3 linked regions of the Macaca fascicularis genome follow. The protein of the gene in region 2 purifies or fractionates together with the protein of the main gene of each other region. This does not show direct contact. Links are inferred from orthologs where the notes say so. Each region holds a gene or a part of one and is shown on either strand. Other genes may lie near its edges.

The links. The genes of interacting proteins can lie anywhere in the genome.
Region 1: the proteins of ARHGDIA (region 2) and RHOC purify together in Homo sapiens (affinity purification with mass spectrometry; 4 studies listed by BioGRID and IntAct, with this or other methods). This does not show direct contact. The link is inferred for Macaca fascicularis from reciprocal best matches to the Homo sapiens genes ARHGDIA and RHOC.
Region 3: the proteins of ARHGDIA (region 2) and EZR purify together in Homo sapiens (co-purification; 3 studies listed by BioGRID and IntAct, with this or other methods). This does not show direct contact. The link is inferred for Macaca fascicularis from reciprocal best matches to the Homo sapiens genes ARHGDIA and EZR.

Annotation. Positions count from the first base shown.
Region 1 is NC_088375.1:121,673,250-121,677,542, forward strand, and holds the start of RHOC (rho-related GTP-binding protein RhoC), read left to right. Parts: upstream 1-1,378; 5' UTR 1,379-1,428; intron 1,429-3,398; exon of another isoform or gene 3,399-3,483; intron 3,484-4,293. UniProt on the Homo sapiens protein: Regulates a signal transduction pathway linking plasma membrane receptors to the assembly of focal adhesions and actin stress fibers.
Region 2 is NC_088390.1:88,245,541-88,250,042, reverse strand, and holds the start of ARHGDIA (rho GDP-dissociation inhibitor 1), read left to right. Parts: upstream 1-1,669; 5' UTR 1,670-1,786; intron 1,787-2,175; exon of another isoform or gene 2,176-2,449; intron 2,450-3,051; 5' UTR 3,052-3,078; coding exon 3,079-3,268; intron 3,269-3,383; coding exon 3,384-3,467; intron 3,468-3,598; coding exon 3,599-3,675; intron 3,676-3,756; coding exon 3,757-3,820; intron 3,821-3,917; coding exon 3,918-4,117; 3' UTR 4,118-4,502. UniProt on the Homo sapiens protein: Controls Rho proteins homeostasis. Regulates the GDP/GTP exchange reaction of the Rho proteins by inhibiting the dissociation of GDP from them, and the subsequent binding of GTP to them.
Region 3 is NC_088378.1:67,154,870-67,159,124, forward strand, and holds the start of EZR (ezrin), read right to left. Parts: upstream 2,916-4,255; 5' UTR 2,868-2,915; intron 1,758-2,867; 5' UTR 1,685-1,757; coding exon 1,673-1,684; intron 1-1,672. UniProt on the Homo sapiens protein: Probably involved in connections of major cytoskeletal structures to the plasma membrane. In epithelial cells, required for the formation of microvilli and membrane ruffles on the apical pole. Along with PLEKHG6, required for normal macropinocytosis.

The DNA of each region.
Region 1 (4,293 bases), on a different chromosome or scaffold from region 2:
TCAGTAAAATGAAGATAGCTACCTCATGAGATTTTTGTAGTTAATGTATGTGGACCCAGGTCCATGTAATATGGATTCAATAAATGTTAGCCATCTTGAAATTGTCTGCATTCCTCATTTAGACTCTTAAGTTGTTTGAAGGCAGAAATGGATCTTCCAAACATAGCTCTCAGTTCACCCTCAAGAAATGTTTACTGAGCCAGTTAAGAGGCCTGGGGCCAAACTGCTGCGGACCTCAGTTTTCACATTTGTCAAATGTCTGGATTGCACTTCAGATAAAGTCTGTATGACTCCTAACATTCATTCATTCATCAAATATTTGTTGGCAACCTATTACGTGCCACTCACTGTGCTAGACAACGGGGGAAGGGACAGGCTGGAGGAGCCTGGGAAGTAGCAGGGCCAGACCACCAGTTTGGAGCCAGACAGGCCCGGCTGTGTGAATTCTTGCTGTCACAAGTCAAAAACATTTGTGTAAGCCACTTGATTTCTCTGAGCCTCAGCTTCCCTATGGGCAAAAAGGGATGGGTATATTTTCCCCAAAGATCTGTGATGAATATTGAAAGGGTTAAGCTGTGTAGTGTCCCAAGCACAAGCCAATGAAATGTTGGTGGACGTCCTCATTCTACTCCCACCTCCTCAGCTTCCTTACAGGAAAAGGAGATACGCGTGTAGGTAAGTATCCTATACACCAAGTCAGAACTAGAAGTGGGAACAGAATTCCCAGCTGGGATCCGGAAGCATTTCTAGGAGCACCCTTTGAGGAGTAGGTAGGAATTGGACTCCTGGAAATTCCAGGCCCAGGGAGGAAAGCGAATTGTGAGGAGGAACGCTGGTCTGGGTCTGAACGGCTCTGAGAGGTCTTCAAGTTTGGGGGATGACGTTGGGCTGTACGATCCTAGGAACAAGAGAGTGAACATCTCCCCCAACCAACACACCCACGCCGGGCCCTGGGACGTGCCGGGGGCTGCCCTTTCCCAGTCCCGCCTCCGGAGAGGTCCCAGGTGCAGCAAGAGCGGGTGGCTGCTTGGCCACAGGAGGGCAGCAGCGGCCCTTCCTGACCCCACCCCTAGCACTCTTAACTTTCCCGACGCCGGTCCTCCCCTAGGGGCTGGAAGGTTGGGCAGAGTGAGTTCACTCAGGTAGTGCTGGCCCCGCTCGCCCGGCTCCTCCGCAGTCCCGGAATAACCCCGTGGCCCTCCCCTACCTGGCGGAGTGGACGCCCCCGGCCCCAGGCCTGCGGACCAGGGAAGCGGCGGCCGCCCTGCGCGGGGCCGGGGCGGGCCGAGCCAAGGGCCGCCCCCAGCCGACCCTCCCCCTGCCGGGCCCGCCCTCCCCGCCGCGGAGCTGGAGGAGGGCGGGGCGGGGCCCTGGGGTCAGTCTGAGCCTCAGGCACCGGCCGCGCAGCTGGAGGCGGCGGAACCGAAGGTACCCTGGGCCGGGTCTGCGGGCAGCGGGGCGTCTTGGGAACTCGTCCCCGGGAGAGCACTTTGCCTTCCTCTCTGGGCCGGAGATCGAGGCCCGTGCAGGGAGGGGGCTTCGGCCTGGGCTTGGACCCCGTTCCCTCCCTGCGGAGTCGGCATCCGGGCTGGGCGGGGGTCGGCCGCGTCGGCACCTCCCCGGGCTGCAGCGAGGGGGCCCGGACTTGCTGGCAGGGGCTCTCGCCTCCTGAGGTCCGAGTCGGAGCCCCTTCCCCTCTCCTTCCAGCTTCCTGGAACCTGCCCCGCCGGGTGAGGGGCGAGGGAGCCTCAACTCAGACGCTCCAGCCCCCAGGGCGGGCGGCCGCAGGGGACCTAGAGTGGGATGGGGTGGGAATTCCTCCAGGCCAGGAGGGAGGCATGGCGGGAATAGGGGCGGGATGTGACCATTGGGACCTGCCACTGTTCGGCAGGGTCTGGACGCCGCCCTAGACGGTTCCTGGAGCCCGCTTGTGTTGAGGATAAGGGAGATGGGGAAGGATCCAACTCTGTGGGTGGGTGTGTGTGTGTGTGTGTGTGTGTGTGTGTGTGTGTCTGTGGGGTGTGTGTGTGTGTGTGTGTCTGTGGGGGGTGTGTGTGTGTGTGTGTCTGTGGGGGGTGTGTGTGTGTGTGTGTGTGTGTGTGTGTAGACAGAGAGAAAATGAGAATGAGAATCCTTCTCCTTCTTCATACTCGAACCAACAAGGAGTATCCTGGGGTTTTGGGGCTGGGATCCTGAGGCCGAGTCCCACCCTCACTCTGGTTTTAAAGTTGAGAATGAGGTATCTCCTGGTATCTCCAGAACGGATTCCTTCCCTAGGTGTAGGGTGGGTCAGCAAAGTCAACCGGCCGCTCTGGATCATCTGGGAATTCAAGAGAGCGGTTGGAGAGAGATCTGGTGTATCCACACTGTCTTGTCTTGGGGAAGGCCCCAGAAGTTCCAGGCTCCATTCCAGGACCTGTGTGGGGCTCAGTTGCCCCTCTTAAGGGGTCAGTGGGACAGTCCCTCTGGGGCTGCCTCCCATAGGGAGTTATCCATGCCATCTTGGCCTTGGGCCTAGTGTCCTGGCCTGGCCTGGGCTGCCTGCTGTTCCGGCCCAACCATAGCCTGGAGGGAAGGTCTTCTAATTGAGCTGGAGGCTCCAGGTCCCTTAACACATGCCTCAACCCCGGGCTTCTGTCCTCTGCCTCCTACCACTCTGGTGCCATCTGAATTACCCTGCTGGGGGGACAGCAGTGACATACTCATGCCTAAGTGACTGGCTTTCACCCCAGTAGTGATTGCCCTCCATCAACACTGCCCACCCCAGGGTGGGGCTACCCCAGCCCATCTTTACAAAACAGGGCAAGGTGAACTAATGGAGTGGGTGGAGGAGTTGGAAGAAATCCTAGCGTCAGTCACCTGGATAGAATTCCCGAGGAACCCTCTTTTTGGAGGGTGGTTTCCATTTCTGGAGGCTATCTGCCGGCAGGGTGAAAGCCTTCTTGCTTGTCTTCTGGGGAATCAGAGAGAGTCCATTTTCTGGTGGGAAGAGTGTGGCTGTGTACTTTGAACTCCTGTAAATTCTCTGACTCACGTCCACAAAACCGACAGTTTTGTGAATGTGTGTGGAGGCAAGGGAAGGGCCACCTAGGATCTGCTGTTGAAGGGAACAGGCCTGGGACTGGAGGATTCGTTTCCTAAAGGGCAGTGTGAGGTGGTGGCGGGGTGTGGGGAGTAGAGGCCTTCAGTCAGCCCAGTTTGACAGGATGTGGGACTGAGAGAAAAAGCTAGGTTTGAAGCCGAGATCAGGTTACCGTCGCTTTCTTAACTGCTCCCTGCCTGGTTGGTGCTGGGACTGGCCCTCATTTGTCTCTTCTTTTGGGACTCCTCCCAACCCAGACTCTAGCCCCCTCCCTCTTCCCAACAGCCTTGACTTCATCTCAGCTCCAGAGCCCGCCCTCTCTTCCTGCAGCCTGGGAACTTCAGCCGGCTGGAGGCCGGTTCCCCTCCCCAGGGAAGGAGGAAGTGAGGGAAGCTGCGAAGGTGTGATGAACTGTGCAGATGCTCGCCGTGTGTGCTGGGGGTGGGGGACACTTGGAAGCCCGGGAAGCTGACTCCTTGCCCTGAGTCACAGGGAGGGGTGGGCAGGGCCTGTGGGTGAGCTGGACCAAGGGAGGAAGGGACTGTTCCAGAGTGGGTGGAGGTGATTCCCTGGTGGATTCTTCTCAGTCACTGTGCTGTGGTGGATGTGTGGCTCCCTACAGTGTGGTCATTGTCCCCTGCCAGGGGCTGAGTGACCCAGTGTTGCTGGCAGGCCCAGGAGGAAGGGGGGAGGAAGGCAGCCTGCCCAAACTCGAGCTGTGGGCACTGCTGGGACTGAGCCTCCTTTGTATGACTTGGGGCTTTGGGGACCGGGTGGGGTGGACCAGGGAAGCTGGCTGGCTGCTGCCCCTGTCCTCTGGGTTTCCCTGCTTCTGCTCTCCTTCCTACCGCTGAGGTGACATGTCGAAGAGGCACGGCTTTGAGTCACACAGTCCTGCTATGGATGCTATCCCTGCCGCTTATAAGCCACAGCTCTGAATCTGTCTTAACCTCATTGAGCCTTAGTTTCCTAGTTTGTCAAAATGGAAAGTACACCATCTACCTCCCAGGCATCTGGGGACCAAAGGAGATAATTCCTGCCAAAATGCCCGACAGAGTGCCTGGCACCTAGGGACTCTATAACTATTCTTCCTTTACCCACCTACCACCTGGTAGCTGGTTCTGCTACTCTGGTCCTAGAGAGGGACTCCTTATTTGTGACTGGACAGGTATGACTTGTGCTGAGGGACAATCTGTTCTAGATTGGACCTT
Region 2 (4,502 bases):
CAAAAACATTACACAGTATAATCGTCATTTATGTGAAGTGTCCATCAGAGGCAAGTTTATAGATACTAAAAGCAGGACTGTGATTGCCTGGGACAGGGTGTAGGGTGTGGGTGGTGGGAGCAGGCATCAGCTGAAAATAGCTCAAAAGAATTTGGGGCTGGGCAGAGTGGCTCCCAAAAATGCCCTCCTGTGTTCATTTATGTGTCTGAACAAAGCAGCTGCGCGCGTGTGTGCGAGTGGTGTCCGCTTCTCTTGGCCAGTCTGGGTTCCCTGCCAGAAGCCTGGCAGTATGGGCCAGACAAGGCCCTGTCTGCTTGGAGCTCAAGAGTGATTAAAAGAGGTGGGGTGGCCAGGCGTGGTGGCTCACACCTGTAATCCCAGAACTTTGGGAGGCTGAGGCGGGTGGATCACCTGAGGTCAGGAGTTCGAGACCAGCTTGGCCAACGTGGTGAAACCCTGTCTCTACTAAAAATACAAAAATTAGCTGGGCATGTTGGTTCACGCCTGTAGTCCTAACTAGTCGGGAGGCTGAGGCAGGAGAATTGCTTGAACCTGAGAGGTGGAGGTTGCAGTGAGCCGAGATTGCGCCATTGTACTCAAGCCTGGGTGACACACAGAGACTACGTCTCAAAAAAATAATAAATAAATAAAAAGAGGAGTCCACGCTAACGAGTCCACAGCCCTAACAAGTGCTGCGGGCTGGACGTGGGGCAGCGTCCCACCCAGTGTCTGGTGCAGGGCCTTTAGGGGCTTGGCCTCCAGTAGTGGAGAGCACAGGGCTGAGTGCGAGCACTACAGCTAGGCCAGGCCACTCACGTTATGCGGCCGTTCCTGATGCTTCAACACGGTCCTTGTGGGCGAATGTGTGAAATCTCGGAACAAGTGGAGTGGGGACCTGAGCGTCTGCGGTGAAGCCCAGGCTAAGGAAGCCCCTCATCTGCTCACGGTGCCAGGAGGTCTCTGCCTTCTGGTCCTGAGGAGTCGCGAGATTCCTGAGGGATACTAGGGTCTCTGCAGCTGTGCCTGCGCCAAGTAGCCGCGCGAGCCGCGCATGAATTCTGTCTCAACCTGGAGAAAAAAGCCGCGGCTGCGCCCTCGCCCACCACGAGCTTTCCATGGGGCGTGGGCGTGCAAGGGGCTCCTCCTTGTCCCAAAGCCCTGTCCTTCCACGGGAGACACCAAGGCTCTGGAGCGGCCCGCGCGCCGGCGCACTCGCCTATGTTTAACGAGAACTTAATCCCCGTGCCCGTTACCTCCCCGAAGTCCCGGGACTAGATAACAAGGCCCCGAAACGAGAGTCGCAGTAGGACCGACTGGGCCGGGGAGGGCAGCGAACTGCACCTGCGCGAGCTTCCAAAGCCCACGCGGCCGCCGCAGGCCTGCAGTGGGCGCGGGTTGGACAGCGGCGAGAGGCGGGACGGGACCTCGCCTCCTGGGCGCGGGCGCCCTGGGCTCGCGTGGGGGAAGTGCCCTGGCTTACAGAGGTGACGACTCCAGAACCCACGCGGAACGCGCCCACGAGGCCCGGCCGCAAGATGGCGACGCCGTGCCCCCGGCCACCCGCGCGCCGCGCATGCGCCCTGGCCTTCCCCGCCCGAGCGAGCGGAAGTCTCGTGACCCCGGAAGTGACAGGCAGGGCGGGCGGAGCGGCCGACGACGTTCGTCATTTAGTGCGGGAGGGAGCCTGAGCCGCGCGGCCGAACCCTCCGGTGAGTGGCCGTGGCGGGGCGGAGGCGGCGGGCCGGGGCGGGGACCGGCGGCGCCGGCGGAGGCGGGGGGCGCCGGGGTAGGGGCTTCCGCCTTTGTTCGCGCCCCGCCCTGAGCCCCCGGCGGGGTCTCGGCGGGCGGGGGCGCGGTGACAGCGGACCAGGGCGGCGCGGGTCAGGGCGGGGCCGGGGCGGGACCGGGTGGTGGCGGCCCCGGACCCACGTGCGGGACCCGGGCCGGAGGGGCGGCGGGGGCCAGGGGACTGCGAGCCCCGCCCGAGCGCCCCTGAGCTTCTTTCATGGCCGCCGAAGCGCGTGGGGCCCGGGCCAGACCGGAGGACCCCTCCCTGGGGACGCGGGGGGCGCCGGGCCGGCAGCCGCGGTCCATGGCGTTCCGGGGCGACGCGGGGATTGGGGCGCGGCCTCCCCCAGCGCCCGGGCCACGCCCGGCGCGGATTGCGGGCCCTGCGGAAGTGCGGGCCGCGCCCTAGGATCCCGGCGCCTGCGGCCACCCTTGCGCGGCGCAGAGGCCCCAGCGCCTGGAGGAAGCAGGGCGGCCTGGACCCCAGCCTGGGCGTCCCGGGTGGGCTGCTCCCTGATCCACCTCCCACGCTGCCGGGAAGAATCTGAGCCTGACATTCCCGCGCTCGGGTCCCTGCCGGGTCAGTGCTGCCCCGGGCACTCCCGGCTCCCGATCTACAAGAGGGCCCAACGGTACTGAGCGGCTGTGGTAGCTCCCAAGTGTAGGTCACAGACTCTCACAATTGTAGAGAAACCGGAGATACTTAGGATCCCCTGTGCCCCGTTGGCTCCCTGCGGTATTCTGGCTGCCTCTAGCATCCGAGCTCCAGGGGCATCCTGTTTGAAGGATGAGGATGAGGATGAGCCGACCACACAGGTTTACATGTGACTAGCGCGGCCAGAGGAGCATCCCTACTGAGGGATACCCAGCTCCGTTACCCGGTAGGGCAAGGGCCTGGGCAGCTCAGGAGCAGCAAGCCCATAAGAGAGGCTTTAGTGTGGGCCCTGCCAGTTGGGTCTGGGGCCTACTAGCCCCGCCCCACGCATGCCGGGGGCTGCTGCCTCCTCCATCGTGGAGGGGGAGGTGTGCCCTCTCTCCCCAGGACCGGCTGCAGTTCCCATTTTGTCTCAGATGTTATACCTGGCGTGGGGCACCTCACACTGCCCCAGAGGATGCCCCTGAGGAGGAGTTGGGCGGAGGAGAGGAGCGAGGGTGGCCCCCTTGGAGCCCTTTTGGAGCTCTGGCTGCAGTCCACGCTTCTGCTCAGAAAGTGCGCTTCCGTTGGGGATCCAGGTCCAAGGCCTGCCACCGTCCCGCCCACAGGTGTCCTGACCCAGGCTAAGCGTGAGCATGGCTGAGCAGGAGCCCACAGCCGAGCAGCTGGCCCAGATTGCAGCAGAGAACGAGGAAGATGAGCACTCGGTCAACTACAAGCCCCCGGCCCAGAAGAGCATCCAGGAGATCCAGGAGCTGGACAAGGACGACGAGAGCCTGCGAAAGTACAAGGAGGCCCTGCTGGGCCGCGTGGCCGTTTCGGCAGGTGAGTCTGGGCTGCGGGAGCCCGGTGACCACCCGTGCACTCCAGCTGTCTTGCCGCTCCCCAGCCCCTGCTTCCACTGGCGGGGGTGAGGCCCTCACCTCCTGTCACTCCCCAGACCCCAACGTCCCCAACGTCGTCGTGACTGGCCTGACCCTGGTGTGCAGCTCGGCCCCGGGCCCCCTGGAGCTGGACCTGACAGGTGAGCGCCCTGCGGCTGCGGGGGTTCGGGCGGCCCCTGGTGGGGATCTCGGGAAGTGCAGCCAAGGGGCCGCGCAGGGCTGGGGGCGCGGGGCTGCTGGGCAGTCACTGAAGGAGAGGTCCCCCCAACAGGTGACCTGGAGAGCTTCAAGAAGCAGTCGTTTGTGCTGAAAGAGGGTGTAGAGTACCGGATAAAAATCTCTTTCCGGGTAAGCTGTCGGCTGCTGTGGCCAGGGAAGGGAGGCGGGACTGGGGCCGACCTTCCCTGATCTTCGCTTCGGGTCCTGCAGGTTAACAGAGAGATCGTGTCCGGCATGAAGTACATCCAGCACACGTACAGGAAAGGCGTCAAGAGTGAGTGGGGCCCCGGGCAGGGCGGAGGGGGCCGTTTGGGTGCGTGGTGCCCAGCGGGGACGCAGGGCCGCTGACCGCCCTCTTCCTTGTGCCGCAGTTGACAAGACTGACTACATGGTAGGCAGCTATGGGCCCCGGGCCGAGGAGTACGAGTTCCTGACCCCCGTGGAGGAGGCACCCAAGGGTATGCTGGCCCGGGGCAGCTACAGCATCAAGTCCCGCTTCACAGACGACGACAAGACCGACCACCTGTCCTGGGAGTGGAATCTCACCATCAAGAAGGACTGGAAGGACTGAGCCCAGCCAGAAGCAGGCAGGGCAGACGGACGGACGGACGACGGACAGGCGGATGTGTCCCCCCAGCCCCTCCCCTCCCCATACCAAAGTGCTGACAGGCCCTCCGTGCCCCTCCCACCCTGGTCCGCCTCCCTGGCCTGGCTCAACCGAGTGCCTCCGACCCCCCTCCTCAACCCTCCCCCGCCCACAGGCCCAGCCTCCTCGGTGGTCTTGTGTCTCGTTGCTGCTTCTGCCTGTGCTGTGGGGGAGAGAGGCCCCAGCCAGGCCTCTGCTGCCCTTTCCGTGCCCCCCAGGTTCTATCTCCCTGTCACACCTGAGGCCTGGCTTAAGGAAGGAGCGGAGCAGCCATTCTCCAGGCCCCGTGGTTGGCCCTGGACGTGTGCGT
Region 3 (4,255 bases), on a different chromosome or scaffold from region 2:
GAGCTCTGCATCTCTTCTTTTAGTGAAATAAAGAAAACCACACCCAGAAGGGTAATCTTGACCACTCCTCTGCATACCCTTGCACTCAGCTCTGCCTAAGTAAGGGGTTGTACTTAGGTCAGTTTCATACCACATGCACTGTCAAGCCTGGATGTCACGTGTCACTTTTAAGTTTGAATTAAAAAGAAAAATTTTGTATAGAAAATACTCTGCACCGCAAATAAATCTTAATGTAACTTAGGCAAAAATGATATTGGCTTCTGAATCTATTGGCATATTAATATTCTCTAACCTAACAGCAAAATTAATACCTCTAACAAACATCTTCTTAGAGAACATAAAATTTAACAGTAGAAAAAGCACCAAGGCCGGGTGTGGTGGCTCACGCCTGTAATCCTAGCATTTTGGGAGGTCGAGGTGGGCGGATCACCTGAGGTCGGGAGTTTGAGACCAACCTGGCCAACATGGTGAAACACCCTCTCTACAAAAATACACAATTTAGCTGGGCATGGTGGCACATGCCTGTAATCCCAGCTACTCGGGAGGCTGAGGCAGGAGATTCGCCTGAACCCAACAGGCAGAGGTTGCAGTGAGCTGAGATCAGGCCACTGCACTCCAGCCCGGGCGACAGAGGGAGACTCTGCTCCCCACCACCTACCTCCCCCAACAAAAAAAAAAAAAAAAAAAAAAAAAAAAAGGCACACAATCATTGATTACAGAACCAACTTGTTTGAAAAACCAGAAAAAAAATCCGGATGTATCTGTAATCCCAGTTTGTAATGAACCCTGTTATTTTGTCCACTGTGATTCAAAACTCAAAAAATGTTAAACCTTCTCCCGAATAGTCACTAGTTCCCCAGCGTTAAAAGCAGGTAGAATACATACAACTTTCTAAGAAGTGTCAGTCCCAGAGAACCTGCCTTTTGCCTACAACCCCCAGGCCTAGCCAGCAATCTCAACACAATCAGATTCAAGGAGACAGAGGCGCAGGCACAGCCCTTTCATCAGTTGACCAGGAGTGCTCGGCCCAGCGTGCCAAGAGCCGCTCATCAAACTCCGCCGACTGCCTGCATCTACAATTCAAGTCCATGGCTAACCTTCTGTTAAGAGACAGAAATTCTGCTGCAGCCAGTAAGTTTCCTGGTGAACAGGGCACCGCTTCATGGGCCTCGTAGGAAGCGAAGCTGAACGGCAACTTCCGAAAGCCAGTCTCCTCTCCCAAACGCCCTTTAAATCTCCCCAGTTGGATCTTGGGCGCCTGTGGTTTCGGACCCTTAGGAACTCTGAGAGCTGGTGTGTGTGGTCGGAGGCCATTTGAGTCTCCCTGTGATTTGGACTTTTTAAGAAAATTCGAAGTTGCATTACCATACCCTTTAAAAACAGACGGAAGCAGTGTAAAAGGGCCTCTAGTTTTTAGAGAAGATCGTAACTACTGGGGAGGGGGCTCACAAAGAAAAAGACTGCAGAGAAAAGCATCAAAATGGTGTTTTCCTAACGCTCCACAAAAGGGCCAACAAGTAACAAAGAGCGGCGACAACCCCCTATTCCTATCCTCTTCTGCGTGTGAGAAAAGCCTTCTTCCACCAGGAACTGCCCCAACACCTCGTGCAGGTGCCTCCCCTCGCCAATGAAGCCTCCCCCGTCCGCCCGTCCCAGAAACTGGGCAACTTACTGGTTTCGGCATTTTCGGTTCCTGTTGAGTATCCTCGATCCCCGGAAACACGACTCTCCAGCAGCAGCGGAGACGCTGTCCCAACCTGGAGTCAAAGCAGAGCCCTTAGAGCGCCGGTCGGCCCTGCCTCGTCCTCCTGCCGCGCCCGACACTCCGCGCCCGCCGCGCGCCGCCGCTTAAGAACCGGCCAGCCCGGGCCGGGGTGAGTCAGCGCCCCGCCCAGCACTGCGGGCACGGGGAGGGGGCGCGGCCGGGCGGGGCCCCCGGCGAGGAGGGGCCTGAGCGCGGGGGCGCGCGCCCAAGGGGCAGCCGGCGGGCACTCGAGGTGCCCCCAGTTGGGGGGGTCCGGAGAGAGGGGGTGCGCACCCGGGGACCCCCAGCATTAAGGGGCTGGTGGGGGACGCGGGTCCGGGAGATATAGGGCAGGGGGAACGCTCGGCGGAGAGGGTCGGGGGGAGAGGGCACGGGCCCCGGGGAACACTCGGCGGGGAGGGATGGGGGAAAGAGCGCCGACCGGGCGGGAAGGGGTCTGGGGGGCACTCCAGGTGCACCTGGCTGAGAGAAGTGGAGAAGAGAGGGCGCGGGGCCCGGGGTACCCGGCGGGGAAAGGCCCGGGAAGACGGAGCGCGGGCCTGGGGGAGAGAGGGCGAGGGGCAGGGGGAATCACCTAGGAGAAAGGAGTCCCGGGAGCGCCGGCGCGAGCCCTCGGGGCACTCGGCAGGGAGGGGTCAGGGGAGAGGGGGCGCATGGCCGGGGGGCACTCGGCGGGGAGGGGTCCGTGGAGAGAGGGCGCGGGCTCGGGGTCAGCCGAGGAACTTCCCAGGGCTGCCAGGAAGCCCGTGAGGAGCCGAGCACTCGGCAAGTTTCACTTTGTGTAGCAACCGTTGCCCCGCGGCTGCAATCGCAACCGTCACGCCTTTGAGAAACTCTTTCAAAAACTGCAACCGCCCGGGAGCCGCCAAGGGACGGCGCCCAGGCACCCAGGCTCCGCGTTTCCTTCGGGAGAGGGGACCTGGTGCCGAGGGGAAGGTCGCGGGGCCGCTGGCCGGCTCAGCTCCACTGCCCCTCGAGTGCCGGGCAGAGACCCGCGCCGCGCCCCCCAGGCTGCCCGCCGTACCTGCATCCGAGCTCCCGCCGCCCACCCGGTCCCTCCGTCAGGAACCCCCGCCCCGACCCCCGCCGCCGTACGCCTCACCCGACGCCTGCAGTGCTCCGTGTGCTCCCCGCCGCCCTGGCGTCCGCCGAGTGCGCTGGCTGCCCGCGCTCCCAAGAGCCCTGGCGGGGCGGGTCCCGGGGCCACGCCCCTTCCCGCCCAGCTCCCGACCTGTGAGGTGCGCCCCCCGCAAGATGGCGGCGGCCGGGACTCGGGCTCGGAGGCGAATTTGGCGGAAGTACGCGCTACTCCCAGCGCAGATGCAAGTGGGGAGGCTGTTTGTCCCACGGCGGGCAGGGGGAAGTCAGGAAAACGTAAATAAATCTGGAGGGGCGGACGGCCCGGGGGAATTGCTGGGCCGCTTGGGGCTGGGACCGGGGGCCCTTTCCGATACCCCGGCCCTGGGGCGGCTGCACCTGGCCCCAAGTCTCGGTGCACGTGGCCGGCCCAGCCGCTGTCTTCCGAAGCTCTGGTTAAGCGGCACTTTGTGGCCTCTTTTGACGTGACTAGCAAAAAACTCCATGGGATTTCTCTGCAATTCTAGGAATTAAGTTTTTTTGTTTGTTTTTTGCTAATGGTACTCAACAAATTTTTAAGACACACAAAACACGTGCTTTGGGGGCCGGTAGAATTTGTTGCGGGAGACCTCACTCTAGAAGGGGTTCTCAACGTCTGGCTTCCAGACGAGCAGCAACAGCATTCACTGGGAACTTGCAGAAGTGGAAATTAGGTGTTGCTCAGCCTTAGGATTCAGAAACTCTAGGACTGGGCCCAGCAATCAGTGTATTACAAGCCCTTCAGGTGATTGTGATGTTGGCTAAGGGTTGAAACCAGAGAGCTTCTCCAGAATTCATCTCCTGGGTTTACTGCTCCCTTTCTGCTTTTAGTTTTCTCGTCTGTAAAGTGGCATAATTATGGCACCTGTATCAGAGGGTTGTAATGGGGATAATGAGTTAGTACATATAAGATGCCTGGAACAGTACCTGACAGTAAGCACTTAAATCTATCCTGGTAGAGAAACTAGTGACTTTGGGTGAAGTTCCAAACTCTGTATCCCAGTTTGTTGAATGAACATACTAGTAGCCCCTCCTACATACACTTGTAAGGATTAAATGAGATTGTGCATGCAGAGTGCTTAAGTTGTGCTAGCATCATAGTAATTGATGCTTAACCTGCCTTCCTAGTGCCACACTGCTGTTTGGGCAACCCTTGTCAGGGCCTGTAATCTCCCACTTGCAGGTCCAGGGCATTTCAGAGGTCAGAGAGAGGAGGGAGGCCTCTTCTGAGACTTTGACCTCTATTCAGGTAAGTGTATTCCCTCTGAAAGACTGAATTTCTTTCCTTTCCTTTCCTTTTTTTTTTAGACGGAGTTTCACTCTTGTTGCCCAGGCTGGAGTGCAATGGCGCAATCTCGGCTCACTGCAACCTCT